Drosophila melanogaster: one gene and its partners. Changing the gene in region 3 together with the main gene of any one other region gives a genetic interaction. Each region holds a gene or a part of one and is shown on either strand. Other genes may lie near its edges. The genes, in order: ry, MTF-1 and ZnT35C.

Region 1 (10,066 bases), on a different chromosome or scaffold from region 3:
TGCTTACCCACCGACGCTGGCACAGTGTGCTGCCGTTATGGCGAACCGAGGCGCAATCATGGCGCAGCCACAGTTGAACGTGTATCTGCGCTTGCTGGAACCGTGCTCATGAATCCATCTGTTTGTGCGGGACGGCCAACCGAGGGCGCACTGTAATTGAATCGAATGTAAATCTTTATTAATCTACCAAATGGCTTACAATATCAGATTGCTAATTTTTTACTGTTTCAAAGGCAAATAAGTTTCATAAGGTTAGATTTTGGACTGTTTTCCTAATTGCTTAAAACTCACCATATACGGATGCTCGTTCTCCTGGGTGAGTCTGCCGCCCACCAGTAAATTCTGGCTCTGATTGTGCTTTTGTATAATTGGCTCAACTAGTTCCACTTGATCCAGTTTAGGGTTCGTATTCCGACGGCGTCGACGGCGCTTGTGATGAGCTCTTGGATAGGCATTGGCACAGGCTGGCAAAAGATATAAGTTCTGGATTCTCTGAATTCCTTTCATACGCACCTTGTTCGCTCTTCGAGATGCTGGGCGGCGGCAACAAGTATCCGCCGTGTGGACAGCAAACCAACTGATTGGGCCACGATGACGGACAGAGTAGTGGTGTCACCCGGGGCACTGCCTGCATGGCACTAATGCAATCCACGTACCGCACACACTTACCAATCAGCGGACGATCGTGGGCTTGGCAATTTCCGTATATGTCAATCGATAGATACGATGGAGCCACTGCGTTCCAAGGCGCATTCTGTGCATATCTATTGTAATAATGGTTGTAGTGATAGCAACAATTGTTCTGCCGATACGAACGCTAACGTCGAAATTAAGACGAACTCTAAAATCAATCTGTATCCAAATGATAGCTTTCCCATCTCGGATGTCCGAGCTCTACGACGTCAGATTGCCGACTGAGATGCTCGCGAAGATCTCGTCTCATAACCTGAGTTCCATACAAAGCTTCTTTTGATTGAGCTTATATTTTCGGTTAGCAGTCGCGCCGAAATCGGAACTCATATTTCAATTCATCGGAAAACTTGCTCAACTTTCATTAATATACTCAAAATAAATAGTGACTAAGACTTTTCAATTGAAAATCAGAATGCATTGCATGCCACGAGATTCTATTGAATAATAGATAGAACAAAAAAGTAACCATTGAATTTTTCTTAATCTAAAAGGAATATTTAATATTAATCAGTGGTATATAAATTTGTTCAAACAGCTCTCCAGCTTAGTTTACACATTAAACGACTCAATTATTTTTAAAACATTTAATTCACTATGTATATATAAACAAATTAACAAATAAAATCGTCATTTTAAATGCTTAAGCAGTACAAACAATAAAAACAATTTTAAGGCACAATGTTCCATGGCGTAAATGATCCTGGTTCGGGTATTTCAAGCTATAATTAATAAATTAATAATAAAAGTTAGTTTAATGTTATAAACTAATCCAAGGGTAACTTACCAGTTCCGTGAACTTATCCTGACAAGCAATTCGAATGCGTGCCGATGTGGAAGGCGCCTCCAGTGGGAAGTCACCACTCAAGCCCTGATCCTCGCGAGCAGCTGCAATGGCCTCCTTAATGGCAAAGAATGCAGATGATCCAATGAAGAGCGGAGGTTCACCCACTGCCTTGGAAGAGTAGACTGCCCGTGGATTGGGGGCACCGGTCAGTAGGCTGACATTGAACTCCCCGGGAATGTCGGCAAATCCTGGCAGCTTATACATGCCCGGACCTCTGGAGTAAAGCATGCCTTGTGGTGAGTACATGAGTTCCTCCAAAGTGAACAGTCCATAGCCCTGCATGAATGCTCCCTCGATCTGACCAATGTCAATAGCCGGATTCAGGCTGGAACCGATGTCCATTACGATGTCTGTGCTGAGCACCTGATGGTCGCCAGTCAGGCAATCGATCTCTACCACAGTGACTCCCACGCCATTCGTGTAGTAGCTATAGGTGCGGGCATTGGGATTCGTTTCCGGGTGATATCCAATCCCGGGCATGGCATAGAATCCTGTGGCCGAGAGGCTGACCCGATCGAAATACGCCTTGTTGATCCACTCCTTCCAGGTGCCTCCAGGCAATGCCTCCTTGATGGGCGCCAGTCTTTTGTTCAACTTTTCACACGCATCCAGTACGGCCATTCCGTTCAAATCGGATCCCACACTCGCCGCCGTGGGTGAAGTGTTGGGTACTTTATCCGTGGCCGTTTCCGAAATGTGAATCAGTTCCGAAGGAATCCCCAGAGCCCTGGCGGCGCACTGAATCATCTTGGTATTCAGACCTTGTCCGATCTCAACTCCTCCGTGCGAAAGCAACACGGATCCATCACCATAGATGTTGATCAGCGATCCCGCTTGGTTCAAGTGCATCACTCCAAATGCGATTCCATACTTGGTAGGCACCACCGCCATGCCGCGTTTCCGCCAGCGATTCTCCCGATTGAATCGAGCAATCTCCTGCCGCTTCTCGTCGTATCTCGACTGCTTCAAGCAATCCTCCAGACACCGCTCGATGGGGAAGTGCTCCAGCTGCTGGTGGTAGTGTGTGTAGTCTCCAGTCTTGTAGAAGTTCAGCCGCATCACATCCACCACATCGCGACCCACTATCCGGGCCACATCCCGGATGATATGCTCACCGGCGTACATGCCTTGTGGTCCTCCAAATCCACGGAAGGCCGTATTCGAGGGCAGGTTCGTCTTGCAGACCCATCCACCCACGCGAACGTTGGGAATCCTGTAGCAATTCTCAAAGTGGAACATGGCGCGCTCAAGAACCTAAACATAGGATTTATATATTAGATCATTTTTAAGAATTTTTAGATTATTATTTATAATTGTTTATGTCAATATAATCCTGGTGCTTGCTTTCCTGATTAGACCTAAACATTCTTAAAAGTTTCAAACTATTTGCACTCAGGATGATAACATATAGGGGTCCTAGAAATTCCCACACTAACCAGATGTTCAATGGAAAATACAACACATGGATATTTGAGCAAACATGGTATGCATAAAGAAACCTACATATGGATTTTCCATAAACCCACCACTCTTACCGAAAATGACAGATCCATGGACCAACCGGCATTGTTGTAGCACTCAATGTCGCAGGCAGTGATCAGACCCTCCTTGGTGAAGCCCACTTTGTATTTGAAGAGGAAGGGATGCCTGGTGCCGGTGATAAGCATGTCCTCATCGCGATCCAACATACAGCGCACAGGACGACCCATTCGATAGGCGGCCAGGGCAACGGGTAGGGCCACGGAGATGCCTCTGGACTCCTTGCCGCCGAAACCGCCTCCCAAACGCTTGGCACGACAGACGACACGGTGGGCAGGAAGTGCGGTTACATGGGCCACTAGCTTCTGCACCTCCGAGGGATGCTGCGTGGAGCAAAAGAGTTCCAGCTCATCGCTGTCACGAGGTACCGCCAATGCAGCATGGGTCTCCAGATAGAAGTGCTCCTGTCCGCCCATTCGACAGGTGCCCTCGAAAGTGTGATCCGCCTGGGCTAAAGCCTCCTCCACATTGCCCTTGGTCACGAATCGAGGGTAGTCCGGGAAATAGGACTTGTGCTCGATGGCCTGCTCTATGGTCACGATAACCGGGCTCAGCTCCTCGTACTCCACTTTCACTAGCCGAGCGGCTCTTTGGGCCAACGCCTTATTATCGGCAGCTATGGCGCCCACTATCTGACCATAGCAATGCACTTCTCCAGCAGCAAAGACGTGCTCATCATGAAAGACGGGTCCCACTTCGTTCTCGTGCTCCGTTAAGTCCTTGTAGCAAAAGAACTGATGCACTCCGTCCAGGGCCAGAGCTTCACTGGCATCCAGCTTGGTGATCTTGGCACGTGGCTTGGTACTAAGGACAAAGGCCAGATAAACTTCACCATCCATGCGGGGAATGTCATCTGTGTAGATAGCTTCACCAGTGGCCTGTTTCAAAGCAGCCGCATGAACTTTTGGTCTCCCAATGGGATCACAGATGGGTTGATCGCTGCAGACGCGCTCGAAGAGCTGGGCACTTTTGAGTACTGGTGTGTGGAATGTCTCGGCACCACTTCGCTCCTCCGATGGCAGAGCATCGGAAGATGTGATCCCTGACTTGCTCAGCTTCAGGGAAATGGCCAGATAGGCCTTGAAGAACAGGCTCACCACCAGAGCTCGACGATAGGCGATCATGCCACCCGGAGCGGAGGCAGCCAAAGGCAGCTCCGTGCACAAGCTCTCCGCCACGCGCTCCACGAGCTGGTGGCTCCACTCCTGCCCAACCATCAGTTGGGAAGTTCGAGGAGCGAGCACTGTGGTTGGTGCCATTCCACCAAAAGCCATCGAGATCTCCGCCACAATGTTGGATTTTTCCTCAAAGCGAACGTTTATTGCGGCATTTACGATGGCTATGTCATCATCCCTTCTCCTGGCCTGCTTAAAAGCAACGATATACTGGTCCGGAGTGGTCTTCCGAAAGTGGATGCCCAGCAGCACCTCGTGGGCTTCGATAACATTCCTGCGATAGCCAGTGAAGAACCCAGTTCCCATGTGAACTGATCTCTTTTGGAGCTTTCCATCCACAAAACTGGCCACCTCCAGTTGAGCTCCTGCTGCCGAGAGCACAGGATTCATATCGGAAATGGGACTACCGGTCATGATGTTTCCACCCAAACAGGCGACGTTGCGGATCTGCTTGCCGGCAAAGTAGTGAAGCATATCCACGGTGCACTGGAACAATCTGGTCTCCGATTCCGGCAGCTGCTCGATTCTCTGCCGCAGAAGCGCATCGATCTCCATCAAACTGACAGCCGCACCGAAGTAAATGCCATCCTGGTTCTCTTTGATCTCCAGCAGCTCCTTCACCTGGGTGGGATTAATGAGGTGCGGGTAGAGGAAGTGCTTGAACTTAACCTCAACGCCCACTTCCGTATTGCCCACGACCAGCTTGGCAGCCGGATGTTTGGCCTTCAGCTGAAGCAGCTCCTCCAGATTGGTGGGACGATACCAGGTCACCCTATCCGAACTAAAGATCAAACTCTGAGAATCGAAGGCGTCACTCAGCTGAAGTTCCGGTGGGAAGATGGGTTCCTGGCTGGGATCCAAGGGCTGGAATTCGCTGCGCTCGAAGAGCTTGTCATCGGTCTCCGCATCGGTTCCGCATCCTTTCCCACTAACTTTGCAGCACTTCTCGCCCATTCCGCAGGCAAACTCCTTGGTGAACGTCTTGTAGCCCTCGAGAATGGGTCGATAGCCGGTGCAGCGGCACAGGTTACCTTGGAATGCCACCTCCAAGTCTCGCATAGAGGGTTGCTCCGCGTTCCGCAGAAGTGCGTACATGGACATCACAATGCCCGGCGTGCAGAAGCCGCACTGGGATCCGTGCGCCTTGGCCAGTCGCTCCTGCACCGGATGCAGACGCGTTTTGGTGCTCCCTATACCCTCCACAGTGGTCACCGCACATCCGTGCATCGAGCACACTGGCGTCAGGCAGGCGTTGACCGCCAGGTGACGTATCTTGTTGGCCCGACGGTCTAGGCGGGACACCATCACGGTGCAGGCGCCGCATCCGCCTTCCGCACATCCCAACTTCGTTCCGCACAGCCGCAGCTTTTCGCGCAGGAATGTGAGGAGCGTGCACTCCGGATCAGGCGACACTTCGGTCACCTGGAATAAGAAATGTATAAATATAATAAAATGAAAAAAACGAAATCAATTTCCCAAAAGTATCTAATGCCATTTATCCATTAATGGGAAAATTTGTATCTTGTATCTTGTAGCTTTAAGATCTGTACCTACTTAATTATAATTGCTATAATTATAAGTTTATATGGTTTAAAGCAATTGTTTGTCAAAACTGTGACTTTGTTTAAACTTAAAACAGCGAAAGTGTTATCTGCTCTGCCAGCCCTGAGCAAACAGAGATTGCTATCTATCACTATCAAATGCCGGGCGCACGAGCAACTGGTTATTTATTATTATTTACTTCACTTGTGCGCAAGCTGTGAGCACAAAGTAAAGAACTCCAACTGCACTCCACCAACACCAGATGCTAAATATGGCCAGCTTTATCTGAATAATCCAGCCGAGCTCACTGGATTGTAAACACCGCACAGCCGGTGGGAATGTGCGGATTAGAGGGCCTGGCTATCTGGCAGACACAAATGCCCATGACGATCCCAGCTCACCCACATCCGAGTAGCACTGCTCCCATGCGCGATTGGCAAGTGCACCATCTTGATCGGGCGATAAGGGGCCACCAGCAAACAACGAGGCTTCACATGGGGGTCAATTGTTATCACTATATGCACAGCAAATACTATATACATTCGACACATTCAATTGAGCAAGAAGGCAAATTCCATCGAATGCCAGTTAAACGCAATTAGGGCAATAAAACAATAAAGGGAATCGATATAGTAGGAGTGGGCCGACTTTAAGGAAAGACACGCAAGGCATCCGAGTATCTTTAAGTACCTTCTTTCCATTCACGAAAAACACCAAAACCGAGTTAGACATCGTGAAGTGCTATGTATCTGTAGCTCACGGTATCTCGCTGTATCTCAGTACCAATGCCTATATAAGTGTTAGCCTGCAATTACGAAGCTCGTTTACATATATGGAGGGGAGGAGGTGCGTTCCTTGAATGTAAAGCGAAAACAAGTTTTTTATTTCAAAATTAGAGAACCGACAACCTCATGTGCCCGCCGATTAAAAAACAACACAACCGTCTCGCGCCGTCAACGAAAACGTAATGAATGTGCCAACAGCCAGCCGAGCAATCCATCCAAACGCCGACTTTTATTTTTGTGAGATAAGACGAGCGACCGACGAGTGCAGGATCGCCTACATGTGCGTGGAAATGGCCATGTCTAGGGGTTACGAGGCAGCAGTTCTACTACCTGCTATCTCGGATTAGAGCAGATACCCATCCGAGATCGGTGTGGTCAGCTAGGAAAGCAATCTGTCAGATAAAATCGTACTGATCACTATTCAGCATGAGAACTGCAGCTTTTCTATCTCAAGAATTAAGACCATTTTGAAGATTGTCCTTCAGTCTCAAGAAACACCAAAACCTCGGTATAGTGAAGTTATTTATCTGTATCTTAAAGTTTTCTAGTACCACGATACGCTTTTTTTTTAAACAAAATGTTCACAAGGTGTTCAAACTAGGCAAATATATAAATCTATTTCCTAGCTATATATCTTCCAGATTTATAAATAGTATCGAATTAGGGGTATTTCAGAGAAACGTACATGAAATGCAATTATTTTTCAGAATATTAATTGAAACTTACTTTTAGATACTTTTTTAACCTTTCATTTCATTTTTGTGATATGGCTCCCACTCAAGTAAAAAGTATACTATCTAAAGTTGTAAAAATGGTGCATTAAATAACCCTTTTACGTACCAGAACGTATTGAATATACAACTTTTAGACTGTAAATTTTGCTTTTATGTAAATGGTAAAAAAAAACTATTAAAAAGTTAAAAGGTCGTCAAAATGGGTTCAAGGTTCTTCAAAAGTAAACAACTAGCTCTATCAGCTTAAATCAAATCGAAAGCACAATAAAGCCCAACAGGTTTTAGGAACCACAATCATTAAAATGATGGATTGATTTCTGTCAATCCCAAATCAAAGATGGTGGCATAATTAATTCCCTACGAGTGGCAAGCTAAGATTTCACTTACAACATATATATAATATATTGGCTACTATAAAGTTTGGTAACAAAAGGTAGTTTACAACACAAGGGATTTAACAATGCCAGGATTACTTGGTATCCTAGAGTGAAAACAAACATCGAAGTAGTAATGAAGGATCTGACTTATGCTACGCCGACTTCAGATCTAAGTCTCTCTCCCTTTGGGTGCCCTCATAAAGGGCTTGTCGTCTCATCGCCTCACGCAATTGCTGCTGCTCGAATCTCCTGACGGACCATTGATACCTGCGGATGCCACATTGATAATTAAGTGATAAGGGCGCCGCACGGTTTTAATCACAGTCACTTACCTGCAGGTCATCCAGTAGGCGATGGTGCCGCAGAAGAAGGAGCCGAAGCCCACGTGGGTGGACAGGTGGGTTCGCGAGGTGCCCAGAAAAGTCAGCAAGCCGATGCCGATTCCTCCGCTGATTCCGTAGAGAAAACTGTTACGAAAGCACGGGATCTGCGCCACATCGCGTCCGAAGATAACGAAGCTCTATGGGAGATTAAACATAGTTAAAGCTTAATCAGGCACCTGATGTCCAATAGATTTATGTAATCCATACCTTGGCGGGTTCCTCGGGTTCTTCGGCCATGCTGCAATTGCAATTTTAAAAGTCAAGTTGCAAAGCAAAACAAAACAAAAGTGTGACCCTGACGTTACTAAATAATAATACCACGGACATGTTAGGGGCATTCCAAAAACTGATATAAAATTAGTTATTCCACTCCTATGCACTAAGAAATTTGGACTTATAATTAAAAATAAGTGTAGCCTATATTTATAGCTAAATTATGTTGATTTTCTTGCATACAACATATAGCGTAAAACCTTTACAACTAGTTTAATTTGCGCCTTATCGAAGTCGTTGCCTATCGAACCAGAATCGATTACTCGTTTCTTGCACTAGAGTCGCTCTTATAATTGCATTTTAAGCATTAGGCAACACTGGTCGACGCTAGCAAGAAGAATTTAATCACAATTTAATTTCTTTAGTTTTTTGGGTTTTTATTTAAATTAAGAGCACGCATTGAATCAAAAACGTAATCAGCGCCAATCAAATTGAGTTTTCAATCAGCAGACAGTCGTCAATTAAGGCCTCTGCCAATGTGCCCCAAACATCCAGCAGTGCAACAACACCCACACTAAACACAAATTTTCAGGTGAGTAAATTAAGAAAACACAGAATGCCCAGGTGAATTACACAAATTCTAAGGCAAATATGTGGAGCACAAATGTGTGTGCGTGTGTGGCGCAGACTTTAAAGTCAGTCGAGAAAACCCGACTGAACATAATCAACTGGCAATGTACGACACGTAGGCAGAAAAGTAAAACAAATTTGCAGTTTGCAGAGAGTAAGGCAAACGTATTATCTATATACATGTCTCTGATAATCGCTCTTCAACTCTGGGTACTCCACAGTTCTTCGCCAGATGTTTAAACGTCGCCTCGCCAGCAACCGAAACCGAATTTCCACTAGCAACCGATTCTTCCAGGCCTCCAACTGACCCAACTGAACACGACCATGGACGTATCCGCCTCCACGTCGTTTGAATCCTCGCCGGACAAGAGAAACAGCATCTATGTGGGCGACAACACTTTCTACGACAGCGCCCTGGATCACCAGCTGTCCACCACGGCCTACAAGTCGTGCAATGGTAAGCATCCAAACCTATACAAAGCCCTCAAGATCCTGAGTAGCAGAGATCCGCGAACGGAGGGCCACGTCTTCCAGGAGAATCACCCGTTCTCCTCGAAAGCAGAAAAGTTTCAGCGGTCGGAAAAAGAAGTAGACCTCTCTACATACGGGCAGGACACGGATATGGACCACAAGTTAACCGAAATGGGTAATCAAAGCGCTTCCTTCACAAATCCGGAGTATATAGGAGAATCGGAAGAAGATGAGTTTCCTTCGAGAGCTATTTACGAGCAAAAGAACCTCATAGATGAGCACGACCAATTGGATCGCAAGGTTAATGAGCTCAAACTGAAGCTCGTTGTTCTGCAAATTCAAACAAGACATCAGAAGCAAACGATCGAGAATCTTAAATTGCAGAGCAGCCAAAAGCTGAGCTTCAGTCAGAGCATAAAGAAAACAATAATGGTAGCAGCCCGAGAGAGTCTGCAATCCCAAACGCCCGATACGTTTCCCGATCATTTAATATCGCAAATATTTGCGCCATTTGCGGACGATGAGAAACTTAATGATCATTTTAAGAATATGGACTACGAACTGAAGCAAATAGTGCAGAAAATGTGCAGACATGCCTACGAAAGCCAGAAGCCTTTCCTAAAAGACACTATCAGTGAGAAGATTAAGAAGCTTAAGCAGAGGCTTATTCAAAAGTATGA
Region 2 (6,882 bases), on a different chromosome or scaffold from region 3:
ACTGAGAGCCTCATCCGAACTCTAAATTGCGAGTATAACAATGCTATTAGGTCAGATTCATTGCACTAGCTATATGGTTAATATAGTATACATGTGCATGTTCTTTAGAATGAGACAATTATGATGAAATGGATTCATGCTGAACATTGGGTCCGAGTGATATGTTAGGGGACAGCCTTTCGAAATAAGCAGATACTACGCACCGCTAAAGATGGTTAACAAAACTTGGCTACACACGCCTACAGCGGAATCACAGGAATCGGATTCTCCGCTAACACTAGGATTAGGATGGCGAGTAGCTACAAAAAGCGTTAGGCAACGTAAGGCACGTTAGACATTGAACTAGCGGTTGGTGATTGGGTGTGTGTACCTCGTAGGCCAACGCCATTAGCTGATCGTTCTCGTCCTGCCTCTCCACCTCCTCCTCATCGACATCTTGGTGCAGCACGCCCGGTTGGATGCAGTGGGCCAGCTGCTCGTCCTCGTCCGGCTCATTTGGATCGTACTCATCCACATAGCTGGAAGATTCGGCCGAGCGGGGTAAAGAGACCAACATGGGGGAAATTTATCGAATTTGCAGTTGGAAACAAACAGAAAATCGCATCGGGCGGGGCATATGTATATTCCATCCGATTTGTGTGTCAGTGGGCCGTTAAGATCTTTGTATATAATTATAAACGCAACAAGTATATGTACATACATATATACAAATATATATATATATATGAATGAAAATTGCACAGATTGCGATTAGTGGGTTTAGAGCGTCAGCAAACAAAGTCGTAAAGGCGATCGAATAAACAGCCGTTTCCTGGAGGGCTCTTCTGTCCTTATTAATCAGATTAATTAATATTTAATGTTGTCATGGTCAAAACACAACAAATGGCAAAATAAAATAGCAGACGGCAACAGAAACTATAAAGAAAAGCCGAGGGAAGCAGAACAACAAGTGCGTGGGCGCTGAGACGGCTGGCATGCTGACTGACGGGCAGCGTGCGTCCCCCACGGACCCTTCCTCATCCCTTTTGCCACCGGCTCACCCATCGAGATGCCCCTCCCCCCGCCCCCTCTAATCATGGGAGTACTGAAAAATGAGAAATATGATTGAGGGAACACTACTCATGGCGGTAAAAATAGCAAGAGGGCGTCGTCGCCGAACGGGGAGCACGGCAGGAAGGAAGGAACACAACAAGCAAGGCACGGATGAAAAATTGAAAAATTATTGTACCGCAGAATAATGAGCTAGCGAAGAGCAACAACAATGTAGAACGTAGCGAACTAAGCCCATCACAACAGATCATTTGGACTTAGTCGCGGGAAAATTTAGTTTATGACCGATTCCGCATATCTTTTGAAGGGTTTCAATCAATCGGGTACTTTACGTATCAGCTGGTCTAAGTCTATCTATTACCCTGTACATTTTATCAGTCGATTTCCTGTATCATCCATATCTATTGAAATGTGAGTAAACATTGTGTAAACCCTTCAGCATTCGTGACTTATCACAAAGTTGTTAACTAAGTTTCGGGAGAACTGATTTGCTTTGTATTTATATTAAAAGCCCTATCAGCTGTACATGTTATTTAGCCTATTTCTAGAGAATAAAGACCTTTGAGACATTTACGATTTTTACCCTTTGGGAAAAATAGAATATATAGAGAAAACTTTTTATAGTGCCAAATCGCACTTTGTTGGGGGAGAATTTCACAATAGAAGCCACTACAATTTGGATTCTTTTGAAAACCGGCTTCTTTACATCAAGTGTTAATGAGTTTCGGGGAAATTTTCGGTCGTCTTCGCCTAACACATTGTAGAAATATACATCTATGTATGCATATGTATATCCATCTATACATTCTGCTTGGCATTTGGGGTGGGGGTAGAAATCTAAATGCGTTCATCGCCGCAACTATTTTTGGCCCAAACAAATGATTTTCGATACAATCATCAGCCGAAGTGGAGGCCCAAAGGCATGCAGCCATTATGATGCCCATTGGCACATAGTCTCGGTAATATTGGATGTTTGCGACGAGGGTATGCGCTGGTCGAGTCGATTGAAGCGCGCAGAAATGCAACAGGCTGAGAACACAAATCAGGCAATTAGCAAGCAACTTGCAAGCGATTCGGACACCGCGTTGTAATAAGTGGACATTGGAACGCTTGAAATTTGCCAACACAAATTCTCGACAAGGAAGAAAATATGAAAATTCGATTTTGCCTCTTTTTTTTCGTGGGCAGCCAAACAAAAAGTGAAATAAAATTTAAAAAAAAAATCGGACACGTCACGACAGACGCTAGGCAAATGTTTTCCTTTTTTCCGCGCTCTCTCTCTCTCTCTCTCGAGAATCTTTTTGTGTGTGGGCAGTGGAAAATTAGCAGCGAAGAGGGGCGGTGGTGTCCCTGGCGGGGGTCAGAATGCGGAGGGCAAGGCACACCTGACGGCCCACTATAATTGGCCAAAAAACGACAAAAGCACCAAGCACAAATCCACTCATACATGACACTAAAAATATGCAATTATTATTCCCGTTCTGGCTTTTGCACCAAATCGAAATTAAGTGATTTTTTTCGTAAGGCAATCGAACGATTTCAAGGACTGGCATAAAATTAAATATTAAATAATATCGGCAAAAAAGTGTATATATTTTTAATATTTCATAATTCTGTGCTCTAATCATAACATAAATTTAATGAATTAATTATGTGCTCAAAGCTTGAACCAAATTCAATATCTCAAATAAAATGCTTTGCCAAGACTTATGATTTATTTTGATTTTTTGAATTCAATAATTTTCCTTGAATTTTGTTTAAAATATATGGCAAAATTCTTGCTTCGATATATATACAATATGCATACACACATATGTACGAAGTTTCGAGAACCGATTTTTTAAGGCAATATATAGTTCTGAATCTATATAAAATTATAGTTACATTTTTCTACACGAATAATATTGCAATTCCAGAACGGGTTGTTGTTATCATATCTATAAAACACCACGCCTAAGCAAAAAAACATTCCAAATACAAGCAAATCATAAAATACACATGCAGCGGTGGGTGTACGTGCAAGTGGGGAATACCTCGTCTCAATTGTGAAATAAGCTGGAGAATTGGATGTGGAGTCCCTAGAGATGCTGTTTCCAGTTCCCTGGTCGTTATCACAGTTGATTGGAGGATTTGCAGCCTCGTTGGGGCTGGACACCATGCTGAGCGAGACCACAGTGGGCGGCTGGACTTGGACGAGCCTCTGGTTCTCGAACTGGTATTCCAGCGTGAAGCAGATGTCATCCAGATTGAACACCTGGGCGGTGATATCGCTCAGACTGGCTATCAGCGGAACTTCAGAGTGGCTGGAGCTGAGATTCTCGGTGGTATGGTGATATGTGATGGGTATGACCGTGATGGGCAATGGTGTTAGTTGATCCGCAAGCGAAAAAGCGTTGTCCGCTGCCGCAGATACAACAACTTGTGAATGGCCATGAGTTTGAGATGCAGTGAGTTGATCCTGGGCACCGAATAGGTCGCCATATGTCGCCTGGGCGTCCCCCGTATCAAGGGTGAGGCCCAGATTAAGCACCTGTTGCTCGCCACTTGTGGATTCCGCCGTCTGGCTGCCGTAGATGCTGTAGTTGTCCCCATGGATGATGCCCAGCCCGTCGGCCTCCAATTTCGGTTCGAGCAACTGAGCTAGTGGCCTGTCGAAGTCCAGGGAACCAGAGGAGGAGCAATTGGATGTGACGGGCGGGGAGCCGGAAAGCGAATTGCGCGACGAGTTGGTATCATAATCCCGGCTGTCTGATAACGAATTTCCATGACTATTAGCGGTAGTCTTCCACTCGCTGTGGAAGTAGTGTTGTTGTTGTTGCTGGTGTTGTTTCTCTTGGTCGTTCATGTCGTATTATTTGTTATTTGCACACCCACGCACACTAAGACAAACGCTTGCTATATCGCATATGATATGCAGTTGTTATTCTCTTTCTCTGCTGCCACCGTGCAATATGTACATATATATAGATTGCTAAAGAAATTAGAGATCGCGAGATCGAAAAGCACACATCCGCGATCGAAAAGCACAAGCAACAACGATAAGAACCAGTGTGACCATGGGCGGAACGACAAAATATAACGCGGTTCTGGCTGAAATATACCATAAACTGGGATATACCGAAAATAGTGGAACGCAAAAGGGGACACCGCTTAGTGGGGACTCAAACCGCGTGTAGAGTTTTAGGCGGAGTCTCCAAGCGTGGTGTGAAATTGAAACTAAGGTGTTCTAATTTAAAGAATGAATAAATTTGCGAAACCAATATACTGCCGAATAGACTTATTTTTAAAGATTTTATATATTTTCTTATAAAAAAGAGTTTGTTTCATAACAAGTATTCTAGCCCATATTTAGGTACCATTGCACTGTACAATAGTCTCATTTAAAATGTTTAGTACAATAATGCGGTTTTTGTTAAATAATGTGTTCTAAGGTTCAAGTCCTCTCTTATTTCTATTTAATTCATCTACCTTCGAGATTTGCATAATTATGGTATATTTGCGGTATATTTTAGTATGTTTTTCACACAACCACCCTGGTCACACGGCATCCTTCTTTTTCTTTCGTTTCCGGCGAGGTATGTGCACAAATTTTGTTTCTCCACGTTTTTCTTAAAAATAATTGCTTATTTCTCATTTTAGCGGTGATTAAAATATCCATCGAGCAACATAATGGTACGTACCAACGAAAAACTGGCTGAACTCGAATCAAAAAGCGGTCAAACAAGCATAAAACGGCAACGACAGCCGCTTATCCCACGTGCATAGTGCCAATTTTGTTACCCCAAAAGCAATTATTTGTATCCGGCGTCTTGAAACCGTCCTTAATATCAATACCAAATAGCAATTCAAACGGAAACTTTAAAAGAAACCTAAACTAAAACCGAGTGAAGGCCTCTTACATTAAAAGTCCCCGAAAAATGCCGCAACTATCTCAGAAAATCAGCTGCAAATAACTATTTAGTTGTGACAGAAAACTATCGCAAAGATACAACAAAATGGATTGAACTATCGTGATACTAAACATTTTATCAACTACCACAGGGTCGCGTACGAACCAAGACGGTGAAGAAGGCCGCTAAGGTCATCATCGAGAAGTACTACACTCGCCTGACGTTGGACTTCCACACCAACAAGCGCATCTGCGAGGAGGTGGCCATCATTCCCACCAAGCCCCTGCGCAACAAGATTGCCGGGTAAGTGCCGCTCAAATCTCGTTAGTGAGTGGATCTATAATCCCCAAATTCCTTTCCAGCTATGTCACCCATTTGATGGGCCGCCTGCGTCACTCCCAGGTGCGTGGTATCTCCATCAAGTTGCAGGAGGAGGAGCGTGAGCGTCGTGACAACTACGTCCCGGCCGTCTCCGCTCTGGAGCAGGACATCATCGAGGTCGACGCCGACACCAAGGAGATGTTGAAGCTTCTGGACTTCCACAACATCCGTGGCCTGCAGCTCACCCAGCCCAACACCAACAACTTTGGTCGTCGCAACTAAGATTTGTATAGCGCGTAGATGATGATGTTCTGATTTGCATGGGATCACAATAAATTTGTGTGAAGTGCATTTAAAGTGTATGTTTTTGTGTTTCAATTAATTATGCGTATTCGATTGAAAAATATCCAAAGTGAACATCGTTTCCAAAGTGGCTCACCAGGCAGGAAACTCGATCTAAATTCAAGAACCCCAAGTCTGTGTTCCGTTTATCATCTTTATTCGCATTCGAATGGAAAATACTGTAGACATGCACATATTTGTAAATATGTTTATATTCAATCCATAAATATATGGGTTCGTTTTTACACAGACGATATATAAAAGATATTCTACGAGTGCACAATATTTAAATCTAATCGTGTACGCTGATGCCAGTATATATAATTATTTGTTATGTATATGATGGGTGGTAGCTATACGTATGATTGTTCCCTCCGGTTCAGGAAGATGCTGATGTAATGGGCGACGCAGCCTGATCCTGCTGGGGTCTTCGCACCGGATTACGCAAGACCAGCTCGGAATCCTCCGAAATGATGGGCAGCGCGTGTGCCCAGTGGTAGTTGATCAGATGGCTAATGCTGTCGAAGATGCGATCTTTGGTTCGGACCACGCCCTCGGGATCGATGAGAAGCAGATGCTTGGGCGTCTTGCCCTCTAATCCGGTTAGTACGTACTGGCCCCGCTTTCCCTGTGACTCGCGCACCAGAAAGTCGCCGTCCTGCTGCAGCAAACGCTCCGATATTGGTCTGGATATGCCCGCATGGAACCACACCTCCGCTGTGAGCGGGCATTGCGGTCCGTCGAACACATCGCGAACAGAGGGCAAAACAGAATTGGCAGCTGTGGTCGCTTGGAGGGGATCAAAGTGGCCTAACTTATTGGTCGTCTGATCGGGAGGCGGGGAGTTGAGGTCGATGAGGTTGCTGCTCAGGCGATCGCGAGGCTTCTTCAGATTCAGTTGTGCCACACGAGGCGCATGCGGATGGAGAGGTTGCTGCACCTGCTGTTGTTGTGGTTCCGGCACTTCTGGTGGCAGCTTGTTTGGCAAATCGTTGTAGTACTCCTTCACATTCTCCTTGCAGCTTTGATTGATGTTACAATCCGCCGAGGGATCATTGAGCCTACTGAGAGCGTTGAAGCGCAAGGCAAACGCCTTGCCAATGGTCACTATTAGATCCTCGCTTTGGCCGCCAGCGCATTCCAGGACATAACATGCCCGCCATTCATCCTCATTCTTGGCTATGTAGGCGAGGAAGTCGAGGGTGTCATTGTCACCGCCGGACGCGAACGATATGCGCGGCATATTGTGATTGGCTATAACCTCGCCCGTTTCCACGTT
Region 3 (7,196 bases):
CTGCATCTTTAATTGGTCGCCTTGGACCGTTCTGGTCTCGTTCCGTTCGCCTTGTTTGTTTGCGCAATGCGGAAAGTATGTTGGACTCCCGGGGAGCTGAGGTTAATGTTCTGGGATTCCGGGGGGGGGGGGGGGGGGGCTGCTGCAAGACGGTGGATATGGGCGCCACATTCACTGATGTGCGGCTCTCTCCTCCTTCTTCACATCCATATCTGGTTCTGCCATGGCAACAATTGTGCTCTGTACTTGTTCTTATAAATAATTAATGGATGGCAGGGCGCAGGCATCACTTGCATCAGTTGGGCCAAGGGAATGGGAACGGGAATGGCTAGGTGCCGGCGCACAGGCATTAATTGGATAGAAATAAATACGCGACAAAAGCAATTCCATTATGTGCAAATATCAATACCAATAGCTGGACAGGTGCCCAGAATCTACGCCAGCTGAGATCTAAAGATGATCCAATCCGATGGCTGGAAACATCTTTTATATAATTAAGCACTTGTTACACGGAAAAATATAAGTCCCTAGTATTCTGTATTTCAAATAGTTCAAATTGAAGCTCATATTATTTATCATTTTCCAGTGCTTTCAAAGTAAAATATTTCCATCAAAATTCTTTCTTTTTAAAATTCTAATAATTTAATATTAATAATAATTTTAATTTCACTTTCTTTGCTAGAGCTGTTGGATTTTGTTAACTGTTTAGGCAAGCGCTTTGTTTGCGCAATAAACACCTGACTATACCCAAACTTTATATCATCAAATGAAGTGAATACCTCATGAAACCAAATCAGACTTTCGGCTAACGAGGGCTCAGCATATTTGATTACGCGCTCATTATGTTGATTATAACTTCACATCTGATATACTATGTATATTTCCACGCCACATCATCTCCTGTCCTAATTAGCAAGTTACCATTGCTCTGGTCCGCCTCACTCCGCCTGAGCACATCCATAACCAGGAAATCGGAGCACGCGGCGATAACAACGAGGGAAGACGTTCACTCGAGGGAACAATGGACACGGACCTATTCGAACTGCTTAGTATTCCAGCATTTGCGAATGGACCCATCTGGAGCGCGTTTTACAAACGACTAACTACGGCCAAAGCAAATCAATGCAGCTGCATCGAACTGCACTCGGCTAGTTGAGCTATCTAATAGGAGTCACTAACTCAAGCCATGATTGAATGCACCGAGCGCCCCAAGACGATTGCATAATATATATACTATATACTACGAGAATATATCGCTGTGTGTGGCAGTGTAGGATGGAGGCAGCTTTCAGTAGCGGATCCACCTCGTCTAGACGCCAGTTAATTTCATTTTGGGCCCAGCTCGTCTGCCAATAAATCGAATCATCGCCAAAAAAGCAGAACCATTCTTCCTGCGCTACTTGCGACTATCGCATACTCATTAAATGTACTTTCTGTCAGTAAAATGGGGCATAGCTATTGTATTATATATGTAATTGAACAGATGGCTGATAATTGAAGTTTTGATATTGAGTGCTTCCGAGAATGCAGTCGTTACTTATACCAAATCCTTTCCTACAGGGTATGCGATTAGTTTCAAAGCCGAAGCGCAGGAAATTAAAATATAAACTTGAGATAGCCACGTCGATTTTTCGGTTTCTGACCCTATGTATGATGGCAATGAATGAAAAAAATGATTCAAACATTTATTTGGTCCATCGACGATGTCGTACGTAAATTATGGCGAGCGTTACACTGGCTCCTCGGGCGATTTATGACATATGGCCATAGTGGTGGGATGCGGTCTGCTCCCAGCAGCGGTGTGTCAGCAAAGAGCATAAATTTTGATTATGCCACAGATGCTGATGGGGGGGAGTGGATTGGGTGGATTGGGCGGATTGGGCGGCGGCTACGGCGGCGACAGCGGATTGCTCTCCGGCTAGCCGGCCCAGTTTCCATCATAATTTGGTTTGCCAACCTCGAGAATCATCAGCTGATTGATGACACTGGGCGCGGGGACAAGGGGCGGTTGTGGGTGGTTGGTGTATGGGCGAATAGTGAGCGGAATGGGCGGAAATAAAGCTTCGAGTAGGTGGTAAGTTGTTTGCTCACCATATTCGTGCAGCATTTCCAAGCGGCTTTTATCCAGCGAAGTTGCCGCATTCCTATATAGCCGGGCATCATTCATTTCCGACGATTTCCGTGCCGTCTGCCAATTAGCGAGCATTTACCCGATATTACAGCTCCTCAGTCACCCATACATTTGGGTCCGAACACGAGTAGATTGCAGCGAGTTTTTCGATTTTACCCGAATAAAAAAAAAAAAATTAAGGAAAGCAAACAATCAACGATCCGCGCTTAGGAACAATCAAGCTTCGGTACCCTAAAAAATTGGGTGGGGGGGGTGGTGGGGAAAACACACACGGAAAAATAACAATGTGAAAACTAATTTGGTTGATTTTCGTTGTTGTCGAATTTGATTTGTTTGCATTTGACTTTTAGTGCAAAATGCCGCTGCCTGCTGCGTTTTCTTGATAATTTATGAATGACTGCAAATTGCTGCGAGGCAGTCCGACCTGATTGAAAGCGACACGAAAGTGCCCCGCCGTTTGTCACAGTCACCTTGCCACCGCTTTAAGCCCACCCCTCAGCCCCTCGCAGCCCCTTTTCAACCCCTTTTCACCCCATTTCAGGCCCTCTTAACTTAACCCCTTCTTGCCTCACTCACCTTCGACGTTGTTGGACCGCCCGTGTAAACAAAAAATTTGAGCAGGTGTTGCAGGCGTTGCCGGGTGATTGTTGTTGCCATTGCCAGCGACTACGTTCACACCTGGTTGTCCCTGCTCCATCAGGTGAAAGGATGGGGCCGTGCCATAGTTGCTACGGCGCGTCCGTCCAGAGTCGCGTCTGCAGAAGAAGAAGATGGTTACTCGATGGAAAACTCAAGATTATACCGATAAGTTTCATAAGTTTCATACTGTAAACGCTAAATGCTTTAGTTTTAATCAAAATGTTCATATTTAGCTTATGATGTTCCACTAGAAATAATCTTACAAGTGTGCATCACAAAACAAGTTTGGAATGTGGTCTAAACAATATATAACGTTTTCCCAACTAATTCTTTAATTAAAATGTGCCATTCGTTAGTTTTATTCTGCACAAGTTTCTATAGAAATGCACTTGTTTTCCACGGTAAACAAGTGCAAGACGCCCAAAAGAATGAGAAGTAAGTAAGTGCAGCCACAGCAAGAAAAGTTTTTCCGTGGCAGCTTCGACTGGAAAAACCCCGGCAGAGAATTAAAACGTAGCGTTGCCGGTGCCAACAAAACACTGCGGCATTTAAGCAGACACAATGTACAGTGGGGCCATTGACTGCCATAAGCCCCACCGAACCGACCGTCCATCAGCAGGCAGTTGCCACTGTAATGAGCTTGATGCTTTGGAAAGCGAGGCGAAATGCACCGAAAAAAGGAGTTTTTTTGATAGGTGCTAAAATGAAAAGTGCTGCGAAAAATTCAATTTGAAGTTTTGTTACTTAACGCAAACTACGATGACTACTTAAAGGCCACGCCCACTCCGCCGACGCCGCCTTCATCAGCAGCACGTGTGTGTGCGTGTGATGTGCCCGTTGATAAGTTTCTCATGTTGCATGGGTGTGTGTGTGTGCGTGGGTGGGCGTGCGTTGGTGGGCGTGGGTGTGCCAGAGCAAGTGCGCGTAATTTTTACTACGGAAAGTGCAAATGGCGCTAAACTACTTGCTCTGCAACTTTCCAACGCAATTGCACAAAGGAAGAAAAAAAAATCAAAAAAAAAAAAAGAAAAACGAGTGAAAAAAAAACAGCAAGCAAAATACGTTAGCCGTCGCACTTTAAGCTTTCGATCCAACTTTTGGAGGCCTGTGCGCACCTAGAAAATCCCAAGACTCCAGGAACCCGACAGTTGTCACTGCTCCCACGCGGTCCGCTCTTACGCCTATTTAACAAATCAGCAGCTCATTTGGCGCTTTATGTTAATTTGGCCCAAAAGAGATTTTATATTCGGCCAACTTTTTGCGCTGCGCAAACTTTGGCCCAGGAAGTCAGGCGATAAACCGTTTTCCCAGCATCCCATAACTTACTTGGCAATCGGTGTATCCTCGTTCCTGGACATTATTATTTCCGAATATTAACTCACTTTATATTTTTTCAACAAGACACACTAACACCACACGTTACAACACAAGACCGCACCGACAAGTGTTTCTTATAAGATCCCATATGCTCCACTGATTCACAGAGGCTGTGGAATGATAAGATTCAAGCAAATAGTAGATAATCGTGGTTATCTTAACTTACAACTTTCAGATCGGCGAGAGCCGAGTGCAATGCATGTGTTTGTACTTCGAGGGAGGTGAGGAGGGGTGGATCAGTCTAGAAGCTAAAATAAAGCAGAAACAAAACACTCAAAAAAAATAACTGGTATATATATTCCAAAGCAAAGGTAAACATTATTCGTCCCAATAATAATATATATAATGATAATATATAGATAGATAATATCTTTATATAGAATAATATAATCCGCATAATTATAATTGTTGAAAATTACATAATGCCAAAGCGGATTTCAAAATAAAGATTTAAAATTAAAAATTAAACAAATGTAAATCAAGGTAGATTCATCATAGATATAACAATGATTGATAAAGTTATCAACAGAATATCAGATCTTTGGGTTTAGTACTTTCTTTTTTAAGGAAATAAAAACTTTTAATTTTAATACTGTGCCAACATTTTTCTGCGTGCAATGTGAAACGAAAAAGGGGAAGAAAGATGCCCATTCTTATCAGCAGGAGGTATGATATGTCAAGTGTGAATATAGCACACGGACCGTTCAATGATGGTAACGTGCGGTAAGACAACCAACGGGATCAGTTTGCTTTTAAGAGCAGGTTTACCCAGCCGGCAGATAAGAATGTGAATGGGCGCAAAGCACTCGCTAGAATTTTTGAATTTTGCGCTTATTCTCGGGCTGCCAGATAGCTGAAAACAGTTTGATGTTGGTATTTTTAAATGAAGCCCTGGCTTTACAAATATAGGAAAATATTGTACAATAGGTGGTTTATTTGAAAGGTTAATAAAATAACAATGCTCAAAAGCTACAAACTCGTTTTTCCTTATTCTAACTTTTCTAAGTTTAAAATTAGAAATATATATTTTAAACTCTTTCAAGCATAAAGATCAAACGATAAGAAGAACTTAAAGATTTGATATTAGTAAAAATGTTTTGGGCAGGGTATATAATAAGATAAGATTTATTTCATAGGTACAGGGTTCACAACTTTTTTAATTCATTGGGATTGGTGAATGCATAATATGGGATAGAATATTCTTGAAATACCATCCCCAAGATTAACGGTAACTGGCAAGTGTCATCCCTAAGCGATAGGTCCGTTACGACTCGCGCATCGCTGGCACGAGTGGCGATGTTTTAAAAAAATCAATATGAAGGCCACAACGTGCGGGAGTTCGTGAAAGTTTAGCTAGCGTTATTAGTCAATGATGTCGGGGCGTTGTGCACTCGAATTGATAGCCGATAATTCGCCCGGACTGCCGCCGCGGCAGTGACCAGATAGATGGCCATGGCCAACTGAACGGAAGGAGAGCGCGAGACCAGAAAAAAGCGAGCCACAAGCACCAAACAGCCACCAAGTGATGGCCTCCTCCACATCCTCTGCGCGTGGGAACAACAAAGCAGCCACCACCAACACCACCGCAGCCACCGCTCCCGTCTCCACCGCCTCGTCGGCTGCCGTTTCCGGTTCCGGTGCCACCTCCGCGGCAGCTACTGCCTCCGCTCCGCCAGCTGTGACCCTAAGCGAGCTGATTGGCCAGCAGCTGAAGCACCTGAACGCCGATGAGCTGCTGCACAAGGACGAGCTGCAGCTGCTCCTGCTCATAACGCCTGTGCAACGCCAGAAACTGAGCCGCAATCTGGAGGATGGCGATCTGGAGGCCAGCACCTCGGCGGCGCCACTTTCGCGTCCCGAAAACGGCGAGGAGGATGACGACCTGATTGGGGCGGTGGGCGGACTCGGTATTTCGTCCCCAACTACGACCAAGGAGCCGGTGCTAGATTTTAGGTAAACATAACGATGTGGCCACTAGTCCATAAAAGCACAAACCCAAACTTAATCGCTTTCACTAACTAACCAGATTTGTCAAAACGTTAAGAATGTCGATAGTGTCAATTCACAATAGCAAACATAGTCGTTATCTAATATCCTAAAACAGGAAGAAAGTTTAAAAACAAAAAACATATTCACATTGTACAATGATTATACCCATTATGTGTAAAGCAAAAGGGAATGCTGGATTCGGGGAAAAGTATGTAACAGTACAATGATTCGTTTTTGGCTCTTTTAAGTATTTATGTTCATAATCAGATTGACTAGCCATGACGATTCAGCCAAGCACGTCCGTTCAGCTGAGTAAAGGGTATAAGATAGTCCAGGGTATCCATTATTTTTATTATTTGAAAAAACCTAAAATGCGTTTGCTTGAATGTGTATTACGTGTTGGTAAGAAATAGGCATTTTTTAGAAGCAGTAATAAAATTCCTCAGACAAAAAGCTTACTTTTCCACACATATAAATGTTTAATATAAATCTTTTTTTTTACGTATTTATTATTACATTGATTTTTTTATAGTTTCGCATGTCATCCTCGAACAATATGCAAAGCAAATTAAAAACGCGTGGTGCTTTTTCAACCAGTGGCCTAATGTTGGTTAGGCCAAGCTATTATGCAAATCCATAATTACCCCACGAAATTAATTTAATTTGTGGGAGGTGATTTTGCACCCTTGCACATTGGGCTTCGTTTAAGATTAAATGACCCGATTAAAAAAAAAAAAATAAACTAAAAATTAATATTTAATAAACTAGAAATTAATATTTAATCGAAATATAGGTTTACAAAAATGTGCAATTTTGAAGTCACATTTAAATCATTTCATTTGGTTCATATCCATCCATCCATTTGTTGCCAGCACTTTTTACCACTTTTTACCACTTTGTAATAACGGCCCAGTATAGTCGGTTGCATGCATTCGTACGTTTAGGTTAAGAAACATTGTTTGCTGTCGAACTCGGTATTTGGGTCACTTCGTTTTGACATTTGCCGTGAATAATTAACCATGCCACCCTTTTGCCAACCGCACAGGCCACACGTACTCAA

The links.
Region 1: of ZnT35C (region 3) and ry, changing one suppresses a phenotype caused by changing the other (phenotypic suppression), as found in Drosophila melanogaster (2 studies listed by BioGRID).
Region 2: of ZnT35C (region 3) and MTF-1, changing one suppresses a phenotype caused by changing the other (phenotypic suppression), as found in Drosophila melanogaster (one study listed by BioGRID).

The regions. Positions count from the first base shown.
Region 1 is NT_033777.3:13,029,225-13,039,290, reverse strand, and holds ry (rosy), read right to left. Parts: upstream 6,764-10,066; 5' UTR 6,526-6,763; coding exon 6,484-6,525; intron 5,674-6,483; coding exon 3,073-5,673; intron 2,792-3,072; coding exon 1,478-2,791; intron 1,413-1,477; coding exon 1,362-1,412; 3' UTR 1,271-1,361; downstream 1-1,270. Other genes in the region: CG11668 (uncharacterized protein), read right to left, coding at 8-150, 292-464, 514-764, 817-878; l(3)87Df (lethal (3) 87Df), read right to left, coding at 7,842-7,956, 8,022-8,209, 8,280-8,309; CG46281 (uncharacterized protein), read left to right, coding at 9,537-10,066; CG46280 (uncharacterized protein), read left to right, coding at 9,240-9,372.
Region 2 is NT_037436.4:9,427,535-9,434,416, reverse strand, and holds the start of MTF-1 (metal response element-binding transcription Factor-1), read right to left. Parts: upstream 4,106-6,882; 5' UTR 3,896-4,105; coding exon 3,084-3,895; intron 732-3,083; exon of another isoform or gene 519-731; coding exon 371-518; exon of another isoform or gene 22-370; coding exon 1-21. Other genes in the region: RpS17 (ribosomal protein S17), read left to right, coding at 4,720-4,722, 5,092-5,243, 5,303-5,543; Shc (SHC-adaptor protein), read right to left, coding at 5,983-6,882.
Region 3 is NT_033779.5:15,243,467-15,250,662, forward strand, and holds the start of ZnT35C (zinc transporter 35C), read right to left. Parts: upstream 4,249-7,196; 5' UTR 4,129-4,248; coding exon 4,097-4,128; intron 2,887-4,096; coding exon 2,708-2,886; intron 2,495-2,707; exon of another isoform or gene 2,207-2,494; coding exon of another isoform or gene 2,092-2,206; intron 1-2,091. Other genes in the region: dao (down and out), read left to right, coding at 5,673-6,100, 7,182-7,196.